Linked DNA regions of Caenorhabditis elegans. The protein of the gene in region 2 purifies or fractionates together with the protein of the main gene of each other region. This does not show direct contact. Each region holds a gene or a part of one and is shown on either strand. Other genes may lie near its edges.

What was found.
Region 1: the proteins of F33A8.4 (region 2) and C11D2.7 fractionate together in Caenorhabditis elegans (co-fractionation; one large-scale study listed by BioGRID). This does not show direct contact.
Region 3: the proteins of F33A8.4 (region 2) and K08F4.5 fractionate together in Caenorhabditis elegans (co-fractionation; one large-scale study listed by BioGRID). This does not show direct contact.
Region 4: the proteins of F33A8.4 (region 2) and C44H9.5 fractionate together in Caenorhabditis elegans (co-fractionation; one large-scale study listed by BioGRID). This does not show direct contact.

Annotation. Positions count from the first base shown.
Region 1 is NC_003282.8:6,153,173-6,157,779, reverse strand, and holds C11D2.7 (PUA domain-containing protein), read left to right. Parts: upstream 1-2,383; 5' UTR 2,384-2,387; coding exon 2,388-2,453; intron 2,454-2,499; coding exon 2,500-2,724; intron 2,725-2,791; coding exon 2,792-3,058; 3' UTR 3,059-3,156; downstream 3,157-4,607. Other genes in the region: unc-77 (Sodium leak channel NALCN), read left to right, coding at 71-178, 227-337; C11D2.4 (Queuosine 5'-phosphate N-glycosylase/hydrolase), read left to right, coding at 889-996, 1,045-1,139, 1,220-1,880, 1,934-2,104; C11D2.3 (BLOC-1-related complex subunit 5), read right to left, coding at 3,157-3,310, 3,357-3,554, 3,966-4,046.
Region 2 is NC_003280.10:11,044,585-11,051,796, forward strand, and holds F33A8.4 (CTCHY-type domain-containing protein), read right to left. Parts: upstream 4,447-7,212; coding exon 4,360-4,446; intron 4,264-4,359; coding exon 3,875-4,263; intron 3,817-3,874; coding exon 3,657-3,816; intron 3,155-3,656; coding exon 3,062-3,154; intron 2,995-3,061; coding exon 2,926-2,994; intron 2,881-2,925; coding exon 2,584-2,880; intron 2,011-2,583; coding exon 1,702-2,010; 3' UTR 1,385-1,701; coding exon of another isoform or gene 1,226-1,384; 3' UTR 1,202-1,225; downstream 1-1,201. Other genes in the region: col-83 (Nematode cuticle collagen N-terminal domain-containing protein), read right to left, coding at 1-186, 233-457, 1,110-1,178, 1,226-1,384; sdhd-1 (Putative succinate dehydrogenase [ubiquinone] cytochrome b small subunit, mitochondrial), read right to left, coding at 4,725-4,902, 5,020-5,132, 5,182-5,328; ilkp-1 (PPM-type phosphatase domain-containing protein), read left to right, coding at 5,676-5,757, 6,602-6,713, 6,754-6,860, 6,915-7,011, 7,072-7,212.
Region 3 is NC_003282.8:10,133,544-10,138,494, reverse strand, and holds K08F4.5 (uncharacterized protein), read left to right. Parts: upstream 1-2,577; 5' UTR 2,578-2,630; coding exon 2,631-2,694; intron 2,695-2,843; coding exon 2,844-3,427; 3' UTR 3,428-3,563; downstream 3,564-4,951. Other genes in the region: K08F4.12 (Ovule protein), read right to left, coding at 206-371.
Region 4 is NC_003283.11:12,845,000-12,852,712, forward strand, and holds C44H9.5 (uncharacterized protein), read right to left. Parts: upstream 4,866-7,713; 5' UTR 4,800-4,865; coding exon 4,745-4,799; intron 4,474-4,744; coding exon 4,025-4,473; intron 3,979-4,024; coding exon 3,885-3,978; intron 3,550-3,884; coding exon 3,424-3,549; intron 3,373-3,423; coding exon 3,278-3,372; intron 3,203-3,277; coding exon 3,088-3,202; intron 2,786-3,087; coding exon 2,702-2,785; intron 2,658-2,701; coding exon 2,556-2,657; intron 2,504-2,555; coding exon 2,199-2,503; intron 2,154-2,198; coding exon 1,920-2,153; 3' UTR 1,092-1,919; downstream 1-1,091.

The DNA.
Region 1 (4,607 bases), on a different chromosome or scaffold from region 2:
GTCTGTGTGTTTTGCAGCTTAAAGTAAAATGTAAAATGTTGTTTTCGTAATAATATATTCCAAATTTCAGCTCCAGCTAAACGTCTATGATCTACCTGACGTAGAAGAACGTGGAGAAGATTCTCCATTTTCTCCCAAAAACTTGTCTGATGATTTTAATGGAGAGCATTCACCATTGGTAATTCTTTCACTTTCATTTTCTTGAAATGGTTTTCAAAACTTGTAGGTGATAACTCCATCCTTGCCTGTACCACCGACACATGGAAGCCCTCGACCACTTATGCCATGTGAAACGACAAAAGATATTGAAAAATGGTGGAATTCCCTTGTTGATTAGTTCATTTTTTAATTATTTACATTCTCTTGTTGATCTATCTTTTTTAATGTATTCAGGTTATATTGTTACGAGGTATTCAAAAACGCTTTACGAATATTAATTGTGCTTTCACCGAATGAACAGATTTTTATTGGTTTCGTATATAAAATTTTTCAGATGTTTTCTTTTCAGGTTTCCAATGTAGTCCTTAATTTTGTACGATTAATCAAGAAAAATGTTTTTATTAGCGAAACTATTAGTGGGTAATTTAATTGATTTTTAGTTAAAGAAATACTTTTTAAAACATCTGAAAAAGCTGTAAAACGACGACTTTAATTTTTTAAATATAAAAATACAGCATTTTTTGTCGAGAAATAAAATGTGTTTCAGTCTGCATTGCGTACACGACACTTTAACGTACGACAATTTGCTAGGCACTGTGCAGAAGGAGGAGACGCAGAGACACATCTGCGGAGCGTCGTAACAAACACGTTTTTCTCTTTAAAATTTTTATTTTCATTTTTTACTACTCGGTAGAATTGTCACATATTTTTCACTTTTTAGGTCAGAAAATGCTTATTGACGAAGTCCTCGGTCCTGCGGAATCTGGAAAATTCATCGTCGAGCATGGAAATCTCGTCAAAATCAACCAGGCAGGCGTTCGAAAAGTAGCAGAACATGTAAATCCTAAAAATAAATGTTGAATGAATGTAGATTAATATTTATAGATTCTCGGAGCTGCAAAAGATGGATCTCTGAAAGAAGCTCTTTTCTTATCGCCGGAATTACACCCGAAAAGTGGAGATAAAGATGCCGTCCAGTGGTGAGAAAACTTAAATTGTAACTATTCCTCAAATCTGATCTTTTTAAATTTGAAATCATATTAAATTGAATTAATTTCAGGGTATTATTGGTGGATACAATCAATTTCTCATTCTGGCCGGATGAGGGAGATCACTATGATGTTAGCTGGGGTGGAAAAGCTTACACTGGTTACTTCGCAGCATGTGCCGCTGTCAACAAGGCTATAGCCGCCGGAATTCCAGTACTTTCTGCTGAATGGATGAAAAATGTTGGCAGAGAAGAAATCGACAGGATTTTCAAATCCGATTCAGGACACTCAATTCCACTACTTGACGATCGAGTGAAGGCTATCAATGATTCAGGAAAAGTTCTTCTCGAGAAATTCGATGGACAATTTTATAATTGTGTTATAAAATCAGAGAAATCCGCTCAAACTTTGCTGAAATTAATCGTCGAAAACTTTGTCTCTTTCCGCGATTTTGCCGAATTCAACGGACAAAAAGTTTCGCTTCTGAAGAGAGCACAGATTCTCGTTGCGGATGTCTATGGATCCCTTCAAGGTCACGATGATGCGGGAAATTTCAAGGATATTACCACGATCACAATGTTTGCTGACTATCGTGTTCCGCAAGCTCTCGCTTATCTTGGTGCTCTGGATTATTCAGAAGAACTTTTGAGCCAATTGGGTGAAGGAAAACGATTGGAGAATGGATCAAAAGCGGAAGTTGAACTCAGAGGAGCATCTATTGCAGTTTGCGATGTAAGATTCCAGATATTTCTGAAATTTTGTTGTATTAAACGCTAAATTTTCAGGAAATTGTCGCCAAGATGAACGAACTTCGTGAAACCGATCCAAGATTCTCTGATGTTTGTGAAGTTAACGCCATGGAAGTTGATGTCTATGTCTGGGGATATCGTCGACTTTATGCTGCGGATGTTGAAAAGAAAGTCCCGTTCCACAGGACTCGCTGTATTTATTATTAAATCTGTATATGTAAATATTAGTATTTAATTTTTAGTGTGAATTCTAGTGATTTTAGCTTTTCGTATCATCTTCTGTTTTCATTCCGTGTTTTTTTTCTTTCACAGGTTTTAAATACTTTATTTAACACATTCCATTGACACTTCACTTTGAGCCTTAATTTGTTATATGAATTTTAACATTGTTTTTATTTTGCTGAATTCTTTTGTTTTGGTTGTATACCAATTTTTTAAACTTATCCTTGTTTTCATTTAGTTCAAATCTTACAATTTTTTTTCAAGAACCATGTTCAAAAAATTCGACGAGAAGGAAGATGTGACAGGCGCTACTCAGCTCAAGTCCAGTGTTCAGGTATCATCTTTAATTTTAATTAACTAATAATTATAAAAATTTTTAGAAAGGAATTCGCAAGAAGCTGATCGAGAACTTCCCCTACTTGGAGCCACATCTTGAGGAGATCCTCCCGAAAAAGGAGAATTTCAAAGTGATCAAATGCAAGGATCACATTGAATTGCTCGCCGATCATCTGGGTGTCGTGCGATTTGTTAAAACACGTAACACTGATTACATTCCAACTTTGAGAACACTTCACAAGTATCCATTCATTCTTCCACATCAACAGGTTGGTTATAAATTGATTATTTACCTGGTTCAACATTTCCATTTATTGATGAAAATTCAAATTTCAGGTCGACAAAGGTGCCATCAAATTCATCCTGAACGGATCTTCAATAATGTGTCCTGGATTAACATCGCCAGGAGCTAAACTCACTCCTCTCGTACCAAAGGATTCAGTGGTTGCTGTGATGGCTGAAGGAAAGCAACATGCGTTGGCAATTGGTTTGATGTCAATGAGCAGTGAGGAAATTCAATCTGTGAATAAAGGAAACGGAATTGAAAATCTTCATTATTTGAACGATGGGCTGTGGCACTTGGCTGAAAAATCGTTGAACTGATGTGCTCGAATTCCCGGTCGTCGTGCTCTTTATCAGACTTCCAATAATTTGAGATGATCTTTATTTTATATGTCCATTTTGGGATTTAATTTATATTTTCATGCACTTTCTTTTGTTGTATCTTTTCCTTTTCCATCTCGATTCTCATAAAATTTCCAAAGTTTTCCGTCGAGTTTCTTGATTCTCTTTTCTTCCCTTTCAATACGCCACGCTATTTCTTCCAGTTGAGATTCCTCATTTTTGCGAACTTGCCTGCAATTTCTCAACATCAGAGCGAAACAAAACAAACTTCACTTACTGATTCGCGTGATGAGTCTGTCGTAATGCGTGAAGTTGAGTTGTCAAGCTGCTCAACTTAAAGGCTTTCTCCGAGAAATCATCGACTAAAACCTGAAAAGAATTGTCCAGAGCACATTGATACTTCTCGGTTACTTCATTGCAAACAGCCAAGCATCCAAGAGCCTCACTGATTTTATTATTCTGCTGCTCAATGTTCCTGGAAAAATTATTTTTGCATTAAAGTACACATGAGCAAATATTATCTCGCTAGGTATTTGGCGGGAAAACTGAAAATTCGAGCGATTTCTAAATATAATTATTACCATTTTCTAATCATTCTCCGTCTATTTTGATGTGTTTCCTGCTGGCCTAAACATGCATTTATAACAATTAATTCGGCACGAAAATCATTTAACAAACAACAGAAAAAATAACAAAAATGTTTGATAGCTGACAAAATCGGCAAAACTAACTGAAAAGTTTAAATTTACAGTCTTGGCACCTAATACGAGACCCAACTGTGGGAGGCGGGGCGGTTTTAATTGGCTGTGGAGCGCGTTTCCACATCGATTTCAAAGGGAACATTCTGCTCCTTTGAAATCTCTTCTGCGTCCCCATAATAACTCACAATTCAATAGCATCAAGAAGTCCCCGCTTCTCGAAATAGTTTGTTCTCTGAGCATGTAGATTTCCCTGGATTTTCGCAAATCTAAATTGAAATTTCTGAAAAGAACTTTCTCAAACCAGGTACCGGATATCTCGTCGCGATACTACAGTAATCTACAGTTCATCATACTCCGGCAACAGTATGATCGCTATGAGATATTATCGAAAGAATACGATCGCACAATTTTCTCATAATTTATTTTTGATTTACCTTGTTGACTAGGCTCCTCCTCTTCCTTTGACAAGACAGCCACAACAAAATAACAACGGCAACAAGATCAACAGGTAGATCAAAAATATATTATGAGAAATTTGTGCGATCGTATTTTTTCGATAATATCAGGGAAGTGATTATGTTCAGTAATTTTTGTAATTTATAAATTTTGGAAGATTTCACAAAAGCTATTAAATAACTTTTTTGCGGGACAAGAGACTAATTGCAAATTTTTTAAAGCTTTTGTTTATCTCAACCGGTGAAACAGTGAAAAAGCTTATGAAACATTTGTGAATTTTTATACTTAAAATTCTCATCAATTCAATCTCACAACACGAATATGTGTAGAATTCGAAGCCGAAAAAAATATTTTTTTTAATTTAGCCGCCT
Region 2 (7,212 bases):
TGGAGGCCCTGGCGGCCCACTTCTCGCTGGTGGGCAATCAAAGCAGAAATCATCAATTTCTGGAAGTACGGTATCTGGAACATTAGCTCCAGGAACACCAGGATAACCTTCGGATCCATCGTCCCCGTCATTTCCATCAAGGCCCGGAATTCCAGGAGGCCCAGGTGGACCGAAAATACAGAATTGCTGAAACTAAATATGAAAAAACTCAGGTCAGGCAGGAACTACCCACCTGCTGTGGGCTGTGAACAATGGGTTGTTGAATCACTGGCTGCTGAACTACAACTGGCTGGGAGCATCCTCCACCTCCACCACATGAATGCACTGGATGTATAGCACACCCAGTCTCCTGACCACAATCCGATGGTCCACCACAATTTGTCACATCGTTACAGTAATTCATGAAGAATTGGCGTTTTCGACGTTGGGAAATTGCAACTCCTTTTGACGTTTCGAGCTGGAAAAGGAACCGTAAAGTTAGATCAAATTATAAAATCTGTAGAATTTGCCACCTGTAGCTGAGACACTGTGGCTGAGATCGTGGCGAGACCCAGCCGGAATTTACGCATGCACCTTTAAACTGGCATGTCAAAATTTTACGGAATCACGATACAAATAATTTCAGAAAATAGAAAATATGTAGTAGAAAGCTATCACGAAAATTGTGAAAAATGGTTTTTAAAAAATATTTTCTGATTTTCGAAAAAAAAACTTGATTTATTTCTGACAAATGTATATTTACATTTTCTAGACACTTTTTCGAACATTCCTCTGCTCGAGGCGTCGTTAGTACCTCACTCATGCCTTCCTATCGCCTACCTACGGTGCTTATTGTGTAGGCGCAAGGCAGTCATAGGTCGCCTTGAAGGTAGGAATAAGGCAAGTTTGTGCTTACACTACAGCAAACATGAAAGGAAATTTTAAAAAAAATTGAAACTCAGCAAAAATTGGATAAATTGTTGTGAAAATGTAAAACAGCCAAGAAATGGGCAGAGCCTGTATGTTAATATATTTCGAGTACTTTTCGATTTCCGAAAAATATTCTAAAAAATAAATAAAAAGCTAAAATAGACTCCGCCCATTTAATGGCTTCTTTCCACAAAACTAACCTGAGACAGAATGTCCCATAAATCGTGAGATCTAGACACACAATATCGTAGCTCATATTCTAGTTCGTTCTGCAATAGACTTCAAGCTAGCTGAAATTATGTTTTTTTATTGAAACCTGAAACGTCAAAGTCTTCGCAAATAAAATAACACTGCCAAATAATCCAAGTAATATCGCAGCTACAGTAATCCCGACAGAGATGAGAGTCACGACACGAAGTGTCCGAATTTCAACGTCATCTGCTTCCGGTCTATGCTTCTGCTGCTGCCACGTCATCAGAAGCCTAGAAGGAGCGGAAAGAAACAGTTGAATAGCTGTTAGGATGGAAGGATATGCAAACACTAATAGAGAATAAGTGTGTGGAGTATTCAATTCTAAAGTGTGAATAACTAGTAGAGAAGGAGAAGGATTTCGTGTTCTCATCTTAAGAATAAAAAAACAATTGGCGATTTTTCATCTTAATAAAATGATGATTTAAGAAAAACAAAAAACTTTTGTAGTAGGATAGAGGGAATGGGAAACAAAAAACAATAACAATAAAAGAAAAAGGGTAACAATTTCAACAGAACAACCTTAAAATAACCAAAAAACAATTATTCATCATGCTTCTGAATGCATCTCCCGTACAAATGACATCTGGCACATTGAGCACAGTGCACATATCTCGGCTTGACACACTTATCACATTTCTCGCAGTGATTCCATTTTCCTTGTTCCACTGATGTGCACGCCTGGCAACGATCGCAATGGACATTTCGTTCGGTGACATAGCGATCGCAGACTTCGCAGAATTTGTAGCCGGCGACGTTCTTTAAATCGATGCATTCCACTGGCAAATCGGTGAACAGGCGGACGATCGTTTTCTCGGAATGTTGATAGAGCTTGTGGCCCTCGTAGGTGACCTGGAAAATGATTTAATAAATTTTAAAAAAGTAACATTCAATACATTTTTTGCCCTAAATGGCAGGAAATAGTCCCAACCGAATAAAACTGTTTTTTTACTTAAAAAAAAATTTTTTTTTTTTTAAGTGGTAACAGGGCCGAAATATTTTTAAATTCCCGCAACCTAGTTTCGACATTTTTTCGTTTTCCGCCTATATTTAAGTATAATGATAGGTTTTTTTGTTTGATTTTAAACATAATTTATAAAATTTTCGGACGTTTTTTCGCAAAAAAAATAGTTAAAATAAATGTTCATTTTTCGATTTTTAAGGCTAATTTAGAACTTTGTGATTTTCTTTATAGTTGGAAAAAGTAAAAAATATTGAATTCAAAAATAATTTGAATGTTTCTATTAAAAAAAACCTCTTTGTTGAAAATTCATAATAAAAAAATTTTGTTCAAAAATTTAGTTTTAAACCCACTAACATTGTTTTTATTTAATTTAGAAAATTATTTTTCAAATTTTTACAAGTTATATTCGGTTTTTTGGTCATTTCTGCTCACTTTGAGCAAAAAAAAATTCCAAAACTAACTCTGTAATCAGACATCCAAAAGTTTCCATGAAGCACGTATTTTCGAATATAAATCGGCAGAACAATCATCGAATAAAATAAGGTTTCCTCTTTCCCAGTTGACACAAATCGTTTCTTCATCTTTTCAATACTTTTTAGCAGTGGTTCCATAAAAACTCCGAATGGTGGATCGGTGATCATTAGGATGCTTTTGCTTTTATCGAAGAATTCCATAAGCTTTGGCTCTGCGATTTTATCGAAAAAGTGATCAACGAGCATACTGTATTGAGCGTATTGTTTCGATGGGAAGAACTTGGCCTGAAATAGATAAATTTTGAAAAGGAAATGGTTTTAATAACTTACAAATCGTTTATCATAATCCAACAGGAACACGTTCTTTTCCGGGTGAAGGGCTCGAATGTTTTCAAAGATCTGAAAAAAATGTTTTTTGTTTCCAAGTTTTGATTTTGAAAATTCGTTTTTCAAAAAAAAAACTCACTCTAGGAGCTCCGATGCACAGAATTCCGTCGACTTTTGATTTTTCAACAGCTTTCGTGATGACATCAAGTGTCTCAGTGGAGAAGAAGAATTGCTGAAAATTGGGGTGATAATTATGAAATGTGCAGATTGTTTTGAGCCAAAGTAGGTGAACCTACACAAAATTTTTTTGTTAACTTTTAAAGAGAACTGTAACTTCAAACTTTTGTTGCTGCACAATTTTTAATCGATTTTTTCGAAATTTGTTAAAGCTATGTGCTTTTTTAGTTGTTTTTAATATACTATTTTGATAAATAAAAAATATTTTCAACGAAAAACTATGGAAAAATAGAAAAAAATTTGCGTTTGAAAGCGCTTTTTTTCGAATTTTCAAAAAACTTAAATAAATCAAATAAAACAAATAAAATTCAACAAATCGTGGGAAAACTATGGAAAATTGATGAAAATTCCATAGCATCGAACGTTTGAAATTACAGTACTCTTTAAAGGCGCACATCCGTTTTGTTTTTTTTTTCGCCATTTTAATTTGTCGTGCCGAAACCAGCAAAATTTAGCGTCTGGATAATAAAAACGTTTGGAAATGCAAAAATACTCACTGATTCTCCATGTTGCTCATTTACTGGTGGAAGAAGGTGAGTTGGTCGTTCGAGAGCCTCTCGTTCCACGGGCTCACAGACACATTCATGCTTGTTCGGGAACACATTAATGCACGTTTTGCAATACAGAACTGTGTCCGTTGGTGACATTTCGGTGAGACTGAATTAAATTATTATATTTTTTATTCGGAAATTTCTTAAAACATTTAATTACTCACGCTTTTGGGATTCGATTATATCCAAAAATCTTCTTTTTCTTCTTCTTTTTCTCTGCGTCTTCTTCTCCTTCGACAGCTTCTTTCACCTCAATTTCTCCGGTTTCTTTGTTGAAAGTCAACTTAAAATCGCAAAATTCGGCTTGATTTCTGTAAATTGCACATGCAAAGAATGTCTCCTCGACTTCTGGACCATTTTTCTTCTCGAACAGCAGACAAGGACCATGAGAGCACTGCGGAACTTGTGGAAGGTCATCAGTTGGAAGAACTTGGAAGAATCCACGTTGTCTGAGAGCTGTGCTGTCTTGTTTTTGAAATTGTTGCTCCTGTTGGTTTTCCTGTTGGTGATTGTGGAAATTCGGTCGTTTTGAGAAGTTGTTACGTCGGCGAGCCTTGAAAATTGATTTTTTATATAAATTTAAATAAATTTTGTTATTTATTTCTATATAAATTTAAATAAATTTTGTTATTTATTTCTTAATTTATACCTTAAAAACGTTGTTCTTCTTCGCTTGTTGCATAAACCGTTTTTTCCTTTCAAGTCGTTTCGCTTTATATTCATCTGAGTGAACCATCTGAATATAATTATATTTAATTCATTTTTTAACTTTAAAAATCTGAATAAAATCAATATAATATTTGGAATAAAATAATCCAATTCGTTCATTATTATCTCATCAATTCGGCAGATGTTAGAACAGTTCATTTGGAAGAATATACATTAAAATTCGAACTAGAAAAGAACTCGGAACTAAATCTTGAGGCCGGGGGAAATTTCGCAGTAACAGAGAAGCGGGGAAGATGAACAGGCGGAACACGGATTATGAAAGCTTTTCAACTTCTCAATACTGATTTAGAGGGAGAAGACTAGTTCAAAGGCCTTGGTGATTCCGACGTCGTTGGTGTTGAAGTGGAGGAGTGCGCCGAGCAGAAGACCAGTGATGAGGTAGACTCCGACGTGAGCGGCCTTTGCAGCAGCCTCTCCGATCACGTATGGACGAGCGTAATCGTACACGACTCCGTGGATTCCCCTGAAAAATTTTGATTTTTTTGTTGTTAATAATATTTACAATTAATTTATGATTTTTTTTTCGAAATTTTCCATCTTTTTCAGTAAATAATATGTGAAATCGATTTAATTCCCTTACCAATGAATATGGAGAGTGAGGGCAACAGTGAGAACGGCATCCATAACTGGTCCGTGGATGAAGTAGGATGCTGGAAGAATTGGGAGCATTCCAACGGCCCAAAGACGTTCAAGCTGTAATTATTTATGATTATCCTCTGCTTTTAAGCCTTAAAATTCCCACCTTAAAGTGCATAGAGTGGTCTGGAACTTTGCTGGCTCCATCGTTTAAAGTAGAGGTGGCTCTAACGATTGTTGAGATTCTTGGAGCGCTTCTGGCGACGAGAAGTGCCTTCTGGAAGTGAGCCATATGACGGAGAGACGCGGCCATCCTGGAATTATTGATTTTTGGAGCAAAAACATGAAAAATCTGTTTCAAATTAAATATTTCATTAATCAAATTTGAAAATTTTAATAAATTCGCTACTTTCTGAATAGAGAACACACAAAAACAAGAGAGAAGGAGGGACAAAATCAATTCGGCGGTTCGTACAACACTCCGAAATAACGATTACGCGTGTTGTTTAGCGAATATCAATGCGATTTTTGCACGTCTACAAAATCGGCGGAAATTTTAAATTTAGACAGGATAAACACAATTTTTTGTTGAAAAATCTCGATAAGGAAAACCAAAAATGTGCATAAATGTTCCAAGCTAACAAATTTGTTTTACAGAAAATGTACTCGGATAGCAGAAAACGGAGTTCTGATGACTTGATCGATAATTCAGATGAATCGAAAAAACCGAAGGAATCGAGAAGTGAGTATTTATTGATTATTTTTGAAAAAAATTGCTTGGGAAAATTGAAATAAATAGAAAAAAAATAGAAAAACTTTGAAAACTGGAAATTCATGAAAAGCCGAGACACCACGGTTTCAAGATCTGGTGGGATTCCGGGTCTACGTTTTCCGGATCTACCATTTCCGGATCTACGTTTTCCGGATCTACGTTTTCCGGATCTGACCGTGCCAACTCTTAAATCGCTATTTTTTTCGAAGAAAAAAGTGACAACGACGCTCCGATGTTACCCGTCGCGTATTGTTAAGCGTTTCTTCTAGAAGAAAATTTCGAAAAAAGTCGTGCGTTGAAAAGCGTTTTGTGCGTTGGCACGGTGCCAGATCCGGAAAACGTAGATCCGGAAATGGTAGATCCGGAAAACGTAGATCCGGAATCCCATCAGATCTTGAAACCGTGGTGCCTCGAAAAACCTTCAAAATTTATTTCAATTTTAAAAAAAAGTATCGTAACTTCAGTTTAAAGGCGCACGCTGGTTGTTTCAGAGTGAGTCTCACCACGATCTCAGTAATAAATTTTATTAAATACAAACAGGTGTGCGCCTTTGAAGAGTACTGTAGTTTCAAACTTGTGTAGTTGCAGAATCTTTATCGACTTTTTGTAGTTTTTCGATAAAAATATATTTATGGATTAAAACATTTACAAAATCAAGAGAAAAACTCTGAAAAATAAATAAAAAAAATTCGGAAGACGCACATCTGTTCGTATTTAACAAAAATTGTCGTATCGAGACTGGGTACCGTATTTTTGGTCCAAGAAACACAAAATTTCGCGCCTGAAATAATAAAAATACCAATTATATTTAAAGATCTTTACTGCACTCTTGCCGCGTACGGTTGTCGAAAAGGAGAACGAGCTGACATGCAAGACACTCACATAATGCTTCCAAAATTCGATTTAGGAACCGAAAAATCATTTCTGTAAGTCCAAGTCTCACAGTTTCCAATACTCCCTCTTCAGGTCTCGTGCATCATTTTTCGCGATTTTTGATGGTCACGCAGGACCACGCGCCGCAGAGCATTGTCAGAGTCAGATGGGTAAAACGGTCAAAGAAAAACTTGCCAAATGTATTCAATTCTTTTGATATTTTTGTTCGAAAATTAAATTTTCGGAAATTTCAGTTTCGGATTTCCCAACATTGACTAAATCACTCAAGCAGACCTTCACAGAATCCTACAAAGCAGTGGACGACGGGTTTTTGGCAATTGCCAAACAGAAGTATGATTTAATGAGATAAAAATTCCCCAATTAATTTTTTAAAAAATTAAAAAATTTCAGTAAACCTATCTGGAAGGATGGAACCACCGCGACCACCATGATCATTCTGAACAATGTGATCTACGTGGCAAATATTGGTGATAGTCGAGCTGTTGTTGCTAGAAAGAAAGAAGATGGATCATTTGCACCAGTTTGTCTTAC
Region 3 (4,951 bases), on a different chromosome or scaffold from region 2:
TTTCACGATATGCCCAACATTTCTCAAAACTCTGAAAAAATGGACAACTTGCCAAACGCTTGATCGATTTTTGTCCTATTTTTTAATACATTTAAATAAACTTCCTAATGGTGCTTTTCAGCTTTCGAATCCTTAAATTGTGAGTTCAAAAAAAAACGGTATTTAAATAAATGTCATAAGTTTGGATGAATGAGTAAAAAATTACCATCAGCATGTGATTCAGCATATCCACTATAATTTCTGACTTGTACCAACTTCTTTGTGATTGAATTAGATTTTTTGAGGCATTCTGAGTTTGATGAGGATATCTTCTGATTCTCCACAGTCTCATCATCATCATCCGCCCATTGAACTTTTCGAGCTCGTGTCATTTTTTATTTGATTGCTAAAAAATTAGAGAAAATATTTATAAATTTTGGAAATTGTAATAGAGAAGTTTAAAAAAGGATATGATACATGCATAAATGTTTTGAAATGATCAAGAATGAATGGAAAACGTGCGGTTTTATAGTCAAACATGAGGGAACTCATTTTGAAAACTGAGAATAATGAAAACAAATATGACTGATAATAGAAGGCGGATTCTATTTTTGAATTCATACATCAAAATTCGAAATACAACAGTTTGTCTGAAAATGACCCGAAAACCATAGGAAGTGACCAAATACAGATCGAATGACAACAGATAGACTAGTTATTTCAGAGAAATTGAAATGGCATGGACATGAACAACGTTTGATTTTTTGAAGAGAAAAATGGATTATGTTATGCAAATCAGACAACGACTTTCAGAGAATTTGGGACAGTGATCAACGAATCGAAAGGTCTCGAGTACCGAAAAAAAGATATGTCAAATGACGGTTAAACGACGTCATCTAAACAAGTATGACTATGAAATCAGTGAAAATTCTAGAATTACAAATCAAATAATCATGTGCCTATTTTAAGTCCAACTGAGCACAGTCTAGCACATTTTAATATCAGTTGTTTGTTTCAAATGAAAAATGTTTAAAATAAATTTCAGGCTTTCCAAATAGAACCAAGACCGCTTTTATGTCTGTCTTAAATGCGAGCCTCTTCTTGTGTAGAAACGTTTGCAACTTTATAATAAATGATTACTATAAACTAAAAATGTTAAACTTGTAAAGAGTTTCAGCTGTGCCACGTAAATCTATAACTTACAAATACCAAAATGTGGACAGATAGGAGATAGGTAAGCACATTGACAGGCAGGCACGTACGCTTTGAGGGACCTTATGAAAACCATTTAATTTAAAATTGGCAATTACGTTTTAAAATGTTAAATTTTTCATTCTTGCCCAAGTTTTTTTCGTTTTCTTTTGAGGTATCTTTTAAATTTTACCCTATTTTGGGTATTTTAATACGAAATTCCTTTTGACGCTAGATCCCCTTTACAAATAGAAAGCAAAAACAAAATCTTTAAATCGAGTGCTTTCAACACAAAAAATTTCGAAAATAGTCCGTTGTTGTGGACATTTCCAATGGGAACATTGTTTTGATATTCTTTGGTGTAACTTCCAGTTTTCAATTTACCCAAAACATTTTATAAGTTGCATACATAAATTATTTAAATTGAACACAATCATAGCACGGATTGTTTTTAATTTCATCTAGTTTATTCCCAAAAAGAATTTGCGGAAGTTATACCTGTTGTTTTTTAATTACAAATAAGTATAGCTAACTTAAGATTTGATTTATATGATTGTTCTAAATATACATAACTGTTCTAAATCAATTTGATCAGAATAAAATATTAACTTCAAACCAAAGGAAAATAAAGAAAAAATTTTCTGCAGAGAATTGAATGAACCGTCATGAAAATGGAAAAAAAGTTTATATTTTCCGTTGCTTGACGCCCCCATAACTGCCAGGGCAAATGACAAAACCAATTCGAATGGGAAAATATTGAATGGAATATGAAGAAAATATATGATAGAAAGATGTGATACATTTATGAATTGAATGTACGTTCGAACTGTCAATATTTGAGTGGGAGAAGCTATATGACGTCAGTTTTTCATGAAGAATATGGCAATTGGAAAACTCACGGCCGACACATCGGCAAGGCTTGAAACATATTTACTCTAATAAAATAATGAGAAAAATAACCAAGAATGGTTGGTACTAGATCTCTACAATTTTTCCAGCATTTTGAGTTTATTGTTGTCAAAATGTCAAAATGTCAAAATGAAGATCAAAATGACCACGGAAGGAAATTGTAAGAAACATTGTACAAAACAAAATTCATAACTTGATTATTACCGATGGAGTTTTAAATTTTTGTATATTGTTAAAATGCACGTACTGGTTTTCATTATTTTGGTACAAAAATTCAGGTTTTTCAACAGAACATTTTTGTCAAGCCTATAGGCTTGACAGAAATATTCATTATAGGGAAGACGAATAAAAAAAAAACTTTTCCTTTTTTTAACTTAAAAAAAATTATCACCAAAATTAATTTCAAAAATAAACTTTGTCATGCTTATCACCACGTGAAATCTGACTTCCCATTTAAAATGAAAAAAAAATCAAAAACTCTCTCATAACGAGATTCATACAACGAAAGATCGTCGAGATCAATTCATTTCTCGATTCTTTTCTAACGTACGATGAGTTCCTTAGCAGAGATTCATGGCTTGGCCCAACTATTGGTATTGGTTTTTACTCTCGTCGGTGAGTTGGATAATTTTTAAAAAAGCTGTGTGCAAATATATCTGCTTTAAAAAGTCGCTAATAGTAATATTTTGCGTGAATTTGAAATCAGGATTTTTTCGCTGAAAAATTACAACAGTCGAACGGAGCTTTACAATTCAATTTTTCAGTTACTGCCCATCTCTGTGGCAAGAAGGGCGCAAAGAACAAAAAGAAGGAGGACAAGACAAAAGCAATGTCGGCTATCAAAACCACCACAATGGGTTCTACTACAGCCAACATGCATCCAGCAGAGCCTGTAGTGGAGAAAAAAGAGGAACCAAAGGAGAAAGTTCCAGAGAAAAAGGAGGAGGAAAAGAAGGACGCCACAAAGAAGGAGGAAGCTAAAGAGGAGAAGAAGGAAGAGGAAAGGAAGGAGGAAAAGAAGGAAGAGTCGAAGGAAGGGGAGAAGAAGAATTCAGGTGAAGAGAAGAAAAATAGTGGAGATGAGAAGAAGGAGGAAGGAGGAAAGAAGGATGATGCTAAGGATGGGGAGAAAAAGGAAGAAGCTAAGGAAGGAGATAAGAAGGATGAGGATCAGAAGCCAAAGAAGGAGATTGTGCCAGAAGTCTTCAAAAGAACTTCTAAAGAAAAAGCGATTGCTGATGGTGTCAAGAAGAAGAAGACGGACTATCCAACTATGGAGGACGTTCCAAGTGATTGGGAGAGTGAGAAGAAAAAGAAGAAGAAGACTGAGGCAGATGATAAGGAATAATTCATTGGAAAAGCATCCTCTTTCTTTTTTGTATATTGTAAAATTATGTATTCTCGTCCTCCATAGCTTGAGGCTTTAGTAATCATGATGACTTTTAATTAATGTTGATTAATTCAAGAAGATGTGAAAAATTTGATTTAACTCTTCGCTGATGGCTCATCCAGTTTGACTCAAAAATTTGACATTGACCGATTAATAGGGCACACAATCCTGAAACTGGTTCCAAACTAATTTTTTGCAAGTATTTAATAATTTCTTTTCAGTCAGTGTCTAATATTTGTTAGCTGACATTTTTTGAAATTATAGTGAAAAAATGGCAATTATTCAGTTCTCAACAATAATAATTGTATAAATCAACCTTAAAAAGTTTTCCAATTCTCATTTGTATTTAGTACTAGTACAGTATTTCAACATTATATAGTATTTCAAATCTGCATTAACACTCAAAGATTGTCAAAATGTTTAAATTCAACTGGAAATCTTGAAAATCTACAAGTTTTTGGGAGGTTATTGAGGCAATTTGTTTGTAGTCTTCAATTAAAGTTCTTCTCGGGGAGTACATGACACATTATCGATAGAGCACGTTTCGAACTTATTTTTTATTTCCACAATCCCCAATAACACGAATAGTTTAAAGATGGTATTGAAAGAAAAGTTTTCGAATTTTTTTTAGTTTTGAATTTTGAGAAGTTTTCATGAAGTTTCATTATGAAATTCGGTGTTTTCAGACAATTTTGAGTCTAATAAAGCAATAATAAAAATTTCCATATCAATTCTACCAAAAGGGCACAATTTTTGTTTTTGTTTCAACTTACAGATTTCTTGTTTCATTCTGTAAAAATTCGTTTTTACAGAATGAAACAACAAGAATAAAAAATCTGTTGAACTAAAAATAGAATTACTGTTTCTGAACGTTGTTATTTTTTACCGTCTCAGAAAACGACCGATCAGTCATTACTGTCAAGTATTTCAGAACTCCATCTCTATAAAATCATAAACTGGTTGGTGTAGATAATCGAGTGATTTGAGACTAATTTTTTCAAAATTGGATTCTTCTGGATTCAACAATGCTGTTCCTATTTGTAGATCAAAGATTGTTGGTACTTTGTTTGAAAATGGTATAGGAGGATATGGTTGATAAGAATACAAATGAGTTGACATTGGAAAACCAGCTGGCAGAAAATTCAAATTTCTTATTTCTTAATTTGAATTTCTCACGGTTTGAGAAAAATTTCTTGTTCTTGTTTCTTGGGCAAAATTTTACCAAAAAATTTCCAAGAAATTTATTTTTAGAGTTTAAAAGCCGAAAGGAGAAAAACCTCAAAGCATGAGAAATTCTGCTAGTGTTTGTTCATGTACCAAAGTATTCGTTTACGGACTTTACTATTCAATAAGTGCAAGTTTTTGATAGTCTGATTTAATTTTTTACCATTTTTTGTGATTCTAGTATAAAATAGTGAGTTTTGAGTTTCTTGGTTTCTTGAAATCCTCTTCAATTTTTCTTGGCTGGTTTTAACCAAGAAC
Region 4 (7,713 bases), on a different chromosome or scaffold from region 2:
TGATACATCTGAAATTAGTGATGAGTCTTTTCTGAGAATTAAAACAAATAAAACACATCGAATCTTTGTTTAATATTAGTCTGTTAACATTGTCTCGCAAAAATATACTAATTATTCCACTCTGTCTTTGAAATTTCAGTAGTTTTTCTTAATTTGAAAAAGTTTCCATCTTGTTTTTAATTTCGCGTTTCAAAAATCATTTTTCCGTAATACTTATATACATATTTAATACAAACCCATCTAATAACAAATTCGTGATCAGGTTCCACTGTTCCAAAAGCAGTTCATAGAGTTGGGTTGATAAATATCTATTTCATCTATCATCGTAGCGCTGAAAATTAACAAATAAGTAAAAATATTAGATAAAATCAATATGCAAAGGAGTTTCGATGATTATTAGTATAAATTTGAATGACATGCTATCATGAAAACACTCCTGCCTATTCAAATTAGACTCTTATCACCGGTATGCTTAAACGTATTCACTGTGTATTTTTCAGAAATTTCAATCATAATGCTGGACATTAGGAATATTTCTTTCCATTTTATGTTCCGTGTGTTCTCATTAAAAATTAAGGAAAAAAATGAAGTAGTTTTTAAAACAATTTTCAGGCTAATTTTTGTAAATTACAATAATGTTTTAAAGTTTTGAGATTCTTCCAAATTAGATTTGAGGGCATTTTTTACTGATTTTTTACTTTAGCACACTTAAAGTGATTTACCACATTTTCCCAAACGACAATTCGCAACCTTTTCGGTATCTAAAAAGCGGCCCGTATTATTTGAAGACCTTAAACATTGTGGGGAATACCAAAGAACTAAAAATAACTACTGAAATATTCTCAAAAATTGCTTTGTGAACAAATTTGAGAACTCTGCAAAACATTAAACAGACAAATTATTATATGTTCAGTTTCAGAATTAAATATGCATTGAACTGTAAATTACATTCTTAATACTGTTTCTAGTTTTTTTTTTCTTGGTTATCACTTTCAGTATGAATGATCTAGTCCATAGTTGTCAAACTTTCAGCTGTTGTGTTTTTTTTTTGAAAATCAGTTTTTGTAACCTGAAATTGAAAAATCATTTCGGTTTGGAGAATATTTATTTGTACAAATAATGAACTGGCAACAACTTTCATAGTCTTATATGGTTTCAGATGATTGTGCCAAACGGACACAATTTATCTGGCTCCAACCGTGATTTATAGACAAATATTGTAAGAATAAGGAAACCGGATGTCATGCTTGAGTATGTTCGAGGTGTATTATGAGATTTCGGGTTTGATAAATGTAAGGTTCTAACAATTAAGTACAATAGTACAACAGTTTTGAAACAACAGAAAATAGAAGAAAAAGAAATAAAAGTCAATTAAAATTAAAAAATGAATATGAACATGTAAACAGTTTTTTGTAAAAAATAAGAGAAAAATCAAACTGGAGAAACGTTTCTTGGCAAGAAAAAAAATTATTGAACTATTAAAAAAGGTATTAGTTTTAGAAACTGTTCAAGGTTCGGGCAATTAAATTTACAATAACAATGTTCTCATAAAAAATCCTAATTATTGACAATTTTGATACTTTTTGATTTTTTCTGATATTATATTTGAGCCAACGTAATGATTTTCAAATTTCTCGATTTTCTTTTCCAAAAAAATTGCATAGTGCTTCAAATTAAGAAGTTCCTAAAGAAATCTAGGATGGTGAAATTTTTCATACAATCTATACTATTTATTTACTAACTTCACTTCTATTCCTACTGAAGATTCAAGAAAGTTTTCCCAGTTTGCTAAATAGTAACGTGATACAAAATTCATTGATCCGTAATTGCATTGAGATCATTTTCAACTCTCGGTTTTTCGAGAGATTACGCCAAGGATCTCAGATTTACAGGTTTTTCGTATTAGGAATGTCGGTAAATTAGGTGTAGTGTTTGAGTTCTTCTTGCTGTTCAGCTTGGTTGTTTAATATTTTTTCAACATTTTTTTCGTTGCTATTATTGAGATCCGTGTAGCTAGAACTTATTGAGTTGATGACAACCAATTGCTGATGAAGAGGAGAGTTATCAGCAGGAAGAAGTCTATTTCCATCACCTTGATGTGGTGGCTCACTGGGTCCGGAATTACGTTTGCAAGAACGTTTCTCAAATTTCATCTGGAAAAAAAGTAATTTCATTCATGAAACAAGTAATATTCTTACCAGGAAAACAGCTGTAATCAAAACAAAAAAAATAATTCCAATGACAATTGCACCAATTGCACCAATTGTTTGAATGAACCCAGTCTCGGCAACTTCAACAGTTGAAGAATATTTTTCCAACTTTGATGTTGCATTTGTATCCGGATACAGAACTTTGACAATATTTCTGATTGCATCTTCACAAGTATAATCCATCTCGTTAATATCATTCAGACAAGTTGACAAACGAGTTTGACAGTCTCTTCCAAAAAATTGAATGCAATATTCGAACATGAACCCACATGAAGCAACAACACCTGCAGATCCTGTTTAGATAGTTTTTTGAAAAAATTTTTTTTTAAATTTTTGGTAACTTACTTTTCGATGCGCCACATTCCGAAGAAACACTATCAAAGTAGTCAAGAAGGCGAAGAGGCAATTTTTCAGATGCTTCCAAAACAAGAAAATCATTTTTTGTATCTGAAAACATATAATTTAAGTTGAACTAAAACCAAGAAACACACCTCTTCTAGTCATCGATCCATCAACAAATGATGTAAATCCCTCATTGAATCGACCCCTTATACTTGTAGTCGAAGAAACTTTGTCTGAAAAATTAAGTGGAAAAATACCCCTTTGACATTTGGCGCTCTGTTCTTGCCCACGTTTCGCCCAAAAATGTAAACTTGAATCAAAAGAAATTAACTTGGGTGAGAGTTTGGCAAAAGTTGGATCAACGTTGCGTTAAACTCGGGCGCAGCGTAAACTATGTATTGTCTTTTTATCGAAACTAAACATTTTTTGAGAGAAACTTGGACGGGATGACGAGAGATTTGTTTAAAAATTTAATTTTAAAAAAATCCATTTTAAAATTATCTGAATCTTGATAAACTCATATTAAAATTCTTACGATGTTCTGCAGCTTCCTTATAGAAATCCTCAGCTCTCAGTGATTTTAAGTTTTCATTAAAATCAACGAACATCTTGCAAACCAGTTTTTTTGAATCCATTGTTCCCAGTGTCATCTGAAAATTGGATAGCTTTGAAAATAATAATTAATTCTGTTTCTTTAAAACCAACAAAATAATTTTTAAAATTACATAGTTTCCTTCGCTGTATGCTTCATCACAGTCCTTTTGATCTTTTTGTTGGTCGTAGCAGTTGACACGTACAACACTATGATGATTGAAATCCACTAAAAATTAACAAGTTTCATAAAATTCTTAAAGAGTAAAAAAGTACTTACAAGACGCTTTATCACAAGTTTCATACGCCAATGACCTCATGATCACTTTTCCTATTGGTCCAAATTCAGTTCCAATGTACCAGAATGGATATGGTATGTGCAGTCGTTGGGCATTCATACTGTCTACTGAAAATCGGTCATTTTCTCTTAAAGTTAAATTTTCCAATAGTGAATCTAATAGGAATTTATAAAATGTTCATATCTATCGAGAATGATATTGAAGGTAGATTAGCCAAATCTGGGTTATTGCTTTAATACACGAACTGTCCGTAAAATTTCTTCTGTATGGACAAGTGTGCAAAATTTGAGATTTGTGTTGAAAATAGCCTTTTTTAACTTCGTGTCTCCAAAAAATACTTTTGAGAAAATTTTAAGAATTATTGCTATTAAAAGACTTGTTCACCGTTTTAATACGGTAACTACAAAAGTACAGAAAGTATATTTGACCTCAAAAAACCCACGTTTAACCAGAGTTTCTTGGAATGACGTCTTCGAATTTTGGCATGTTGTAGAGTTGAGCATTTGAGACTCGAGATTACGAAGAATTAAGTACTTCTGAACATTATTTAGATAATTTTCAATTATTAAAGGAAAAACTAACAAGAGTCAAGTTCAAAAGTGGATTCTGAGTGTCAAGTTGGCTGACAGCTTGATGTAGTTTTTCTTCCATTTCTGACACCACGCCACAATTTTTTAACAGACTAGAAAACGCATCTGAGAGTTTCATAAAAATTGCTTCTAGTTTATTCACAACTGTTTTCGTTCGATTTTCGGCGATCGTCTTTCGGTATACTTCTCCTTTCGTTCGCACCGACTGACAAGAGTCTCCAAAATGTTTCTGGCAAGTTTCGGTAGCTTCACTGACGTGTATACAAGTGCAGTAATCCAATTTGCAGTCCTCAACAGATCTCAATTGTCCAAAGCAATCCTCGTATTTTGGTACACAGAAATCAATTCGTTTCGAAAGATATGGACATTCATTTCGGAATCCTCCTCGGGATAAACTAGCTGGATAGAGAGCATTTGGGTATTTGATGGTGTTGATGGAAACTATAAAGAAGTTTGAGTGAATTCGTTCTTGGATTTCGCTGCTCTTCTAAATTTATCTTTAAAAGCAACAAAATTTCCCTCATTATCATTTTTCAGTTCATTTTTAATGCTACTAGTTGTAATCCGCTAACAGTCTTGAGTTCTGAAAACAATTGACAGTTCGTTCGTTCAAAATGTATCTGACAAGATATTATGGCTAACCATATTATTATTTACTCTAAAATATGTATTATTATTTATCTCCGAAATTTTTTTTAACAATTTAACTTACTGGCTGTGGTGGCACTTATCGCCAGAAGTGTAAGGAAGGCCAATTCCAGAACCATGATGGCACGCACATAAAAAGTGGACCCGGCGATGCTTTAAAGATGTTCCACTATCCAATAATGCGACTGAAAATCAATGTCGATATGAAAACGAGAATATGATAGATAGAGACGGTGAATGACGTGATTGTTTGCGAACGAACAGTGCAAACCAAAGTCACGGGTTTTAAGAAAAATTACTAAATTCAATTTGCAAGCAGGAAACATCAATTAAAGAACAATGTAACTTTGACAGAGTAACTATGGAAAAGAAACAAAACATAAAAAGCGCCTGCCAAGGCGGGAAAATGAAGAGTTTATCGGAAACAAACATATGGTTCCGTAAGAGAAAGAGCGAGAGAATGAGAGATAGAGAAAAACGATTTGAAATTGAGTGACCGTTTGAATTTTTAATAAAGTATTTGTTAGAAAATTAATGTAATTAAATGATTTCGATAGTGCGTATAAAATTAGATAGAGTTTTGTTGAACAAGCCTGATGCGAGTCCAAGATTTAGACTGCTCTGCAAACATTATATGAGAGGGCTAGACACGGAGTAAGATGAAGAGAGTTTAAAGAAAAAATGTGATGGGCGTCGCTCATAACTGTTGTAGTATGGTTTCTACTTATTGGCTAATATTTATGGACCATTTGAAACAGATATTAACAAATACTCACTTAAAAATAAATACGGAAAAAAGTACTACGAAATTACGTAAAATTGCGAAATTGATCGGGAACCGGAAAACAAAAATAAGGTATGAGATTGTGAGATAAGCTGCATCAAAAGAAAAAAGAGATCCCAGAAAAAAAAAGTTCTGTAAAAATGAGTTTCAATTACCGGTAAAAAGTATCGAAACAACTAAAAATAAAATTGTGCGCATTTGTTGCGGCTTTTGGACATTTCACATATCTATGTGGTAGAATGTCCTTGATAAAATACTTTTGATTTTACATGAAATGGGCGGGATTTGAAAGTCCTCGGTATGACGTGTTCATTAGAATGGCATAGGACAATTCATGATAGAATAACAATATCAGGATTTTGTTGTAAGTTCATCTTCAAAAATTATTCAGAAAATCCGAATGAATTATCCTCTAACCTTGAATAATCAACTAAAAATTAGCAACGTCGGGAAAATTTCTCGATAAGTTCAGTCGGTAAAGAATAAATTTGGATTTTTGTAATTTTGCCAATGTTCAAAAAAAAGCTAACAAAAATTCTTAATCGTAAATACACAATTACCAATAGTTCTCGCAAAAATGTATCTAGGGAATGTAGTTGGAAATGACATTAAGATCTGATTTTTCTAATTTAGTTAGGCATAGTTATGGTCTCTCTAATCATCGATATATATGTAGGTAGGGTTCACAATAGTAAGACTAATAGCAGCATTTAAGTATATTTTCCATTTTGAAAACATGTTAGTGTTATCCTTATAAACATAATAAGTACAAATAGAAAAAGGAAGGAAGAGGAAAATGAGTATGATAGAAGTAAGAAACTCAATAATGAGTCTGCAAACACTTGTTCAAGGTGCTTGATTTTTGAACAAGCCAGTTCAAAATGATGGGATACCGGGCGAACACTTCAAACTACGCGACTTTTTATATATATTTTCCAGTGATTAATCTATTTGTTTTAGAGTTACTTTGAAATGTATATAGGTGCTTCTTCGGATGAAAAGTTACGTGTAACAAATTTAATTAACACTTAGTCATAGCACATCCTAGCACATAGTAAAACATTTTGTGAAAACGAGTTGCTTTTCATTATCACAAACGTTTTTGTTTATGAAATTTATAAAGCTGTACAAGTATATTTTTCGCGAAATGAATAGTTTTTGCACTGAATGCTGATTTGAAAAATCCTTACAGAAATTAAGAAATTATATGATAATGAGGTAAAAACTCTCGAAAAACAATAAAGATCCACTCACTGTAATTTTAAAAATTTTTAACACATGCATACATATAAAACTAATATCGGAAAAAAAGAAAAATACACCATTCAAAGTTGAATAAAAAGCGATCCATCAAGGACATGTTTGAGTGAATAAATGTCAAGTTAACTGAAAATGGAGGCGATCGAGTTCAACATCAACTAGTCGACAATGCAACGTTGATTTGGCTCCACATTGGATTAACCTAATATCCGTTGTTTTTTTCAAATTGAGGCGGTGAAAAACAATAATGGAGGCAGAGAGATGTTAGAGATATTTTCGAAAAATAATTAAAACAACTATAAAATGTCCCAAAGCTGTAGTTTTGTCATAACTTTGTATTTGACTTTGAATGAAATAAATAAACCAGGAGAAAATCGAGAAGAAACTCATTAAAACGAGAGAGATTTCGCAATGACACATAGGTCATTAATCAAGCATGGCGATCGTCAATGCCGTTGAATCTTGTTTCTTTGAGTTTTTTTCGCAACTTTCAGAAAAATTTTGTTTGTCTATAGATATAAAGTAATAAAAAATCAACTAGAAATGACAATTTTAAAGAATAAGAAAATTATGATTTTATATCAGTTTACAGTTTAGGGAAACATGAAGTGCAATGAACATGTGTTATTGCCAAAAAATAGCGAGATAGTGCAATCCTGAAAGAAAAATATGAAAAGTATTACCGTTTCAGAAAATTTTAGTTTTTTCACAGCAGTGACTCCAATGATGTTACAAACACGGCCGATTGTATTGATGATCATCCTATCGGAGCAAAAATTTCGCTAATTTTTGTTTGTTCGACACAACCACTACCATATGTCTTCGCCTTATCAAAGGTCAAATGCTGTTAAGAGTCATCATTTTAATTAAAGATAAAAATAATAGACAGCGCAAAGAAAAATACAGGTATGTTGTTGACTAGAAAAATTGAAACGTTCTAGCGCAAAAACCGTGACTGGGCCAGTGGTTTTAAACATTGAATTTGTCAA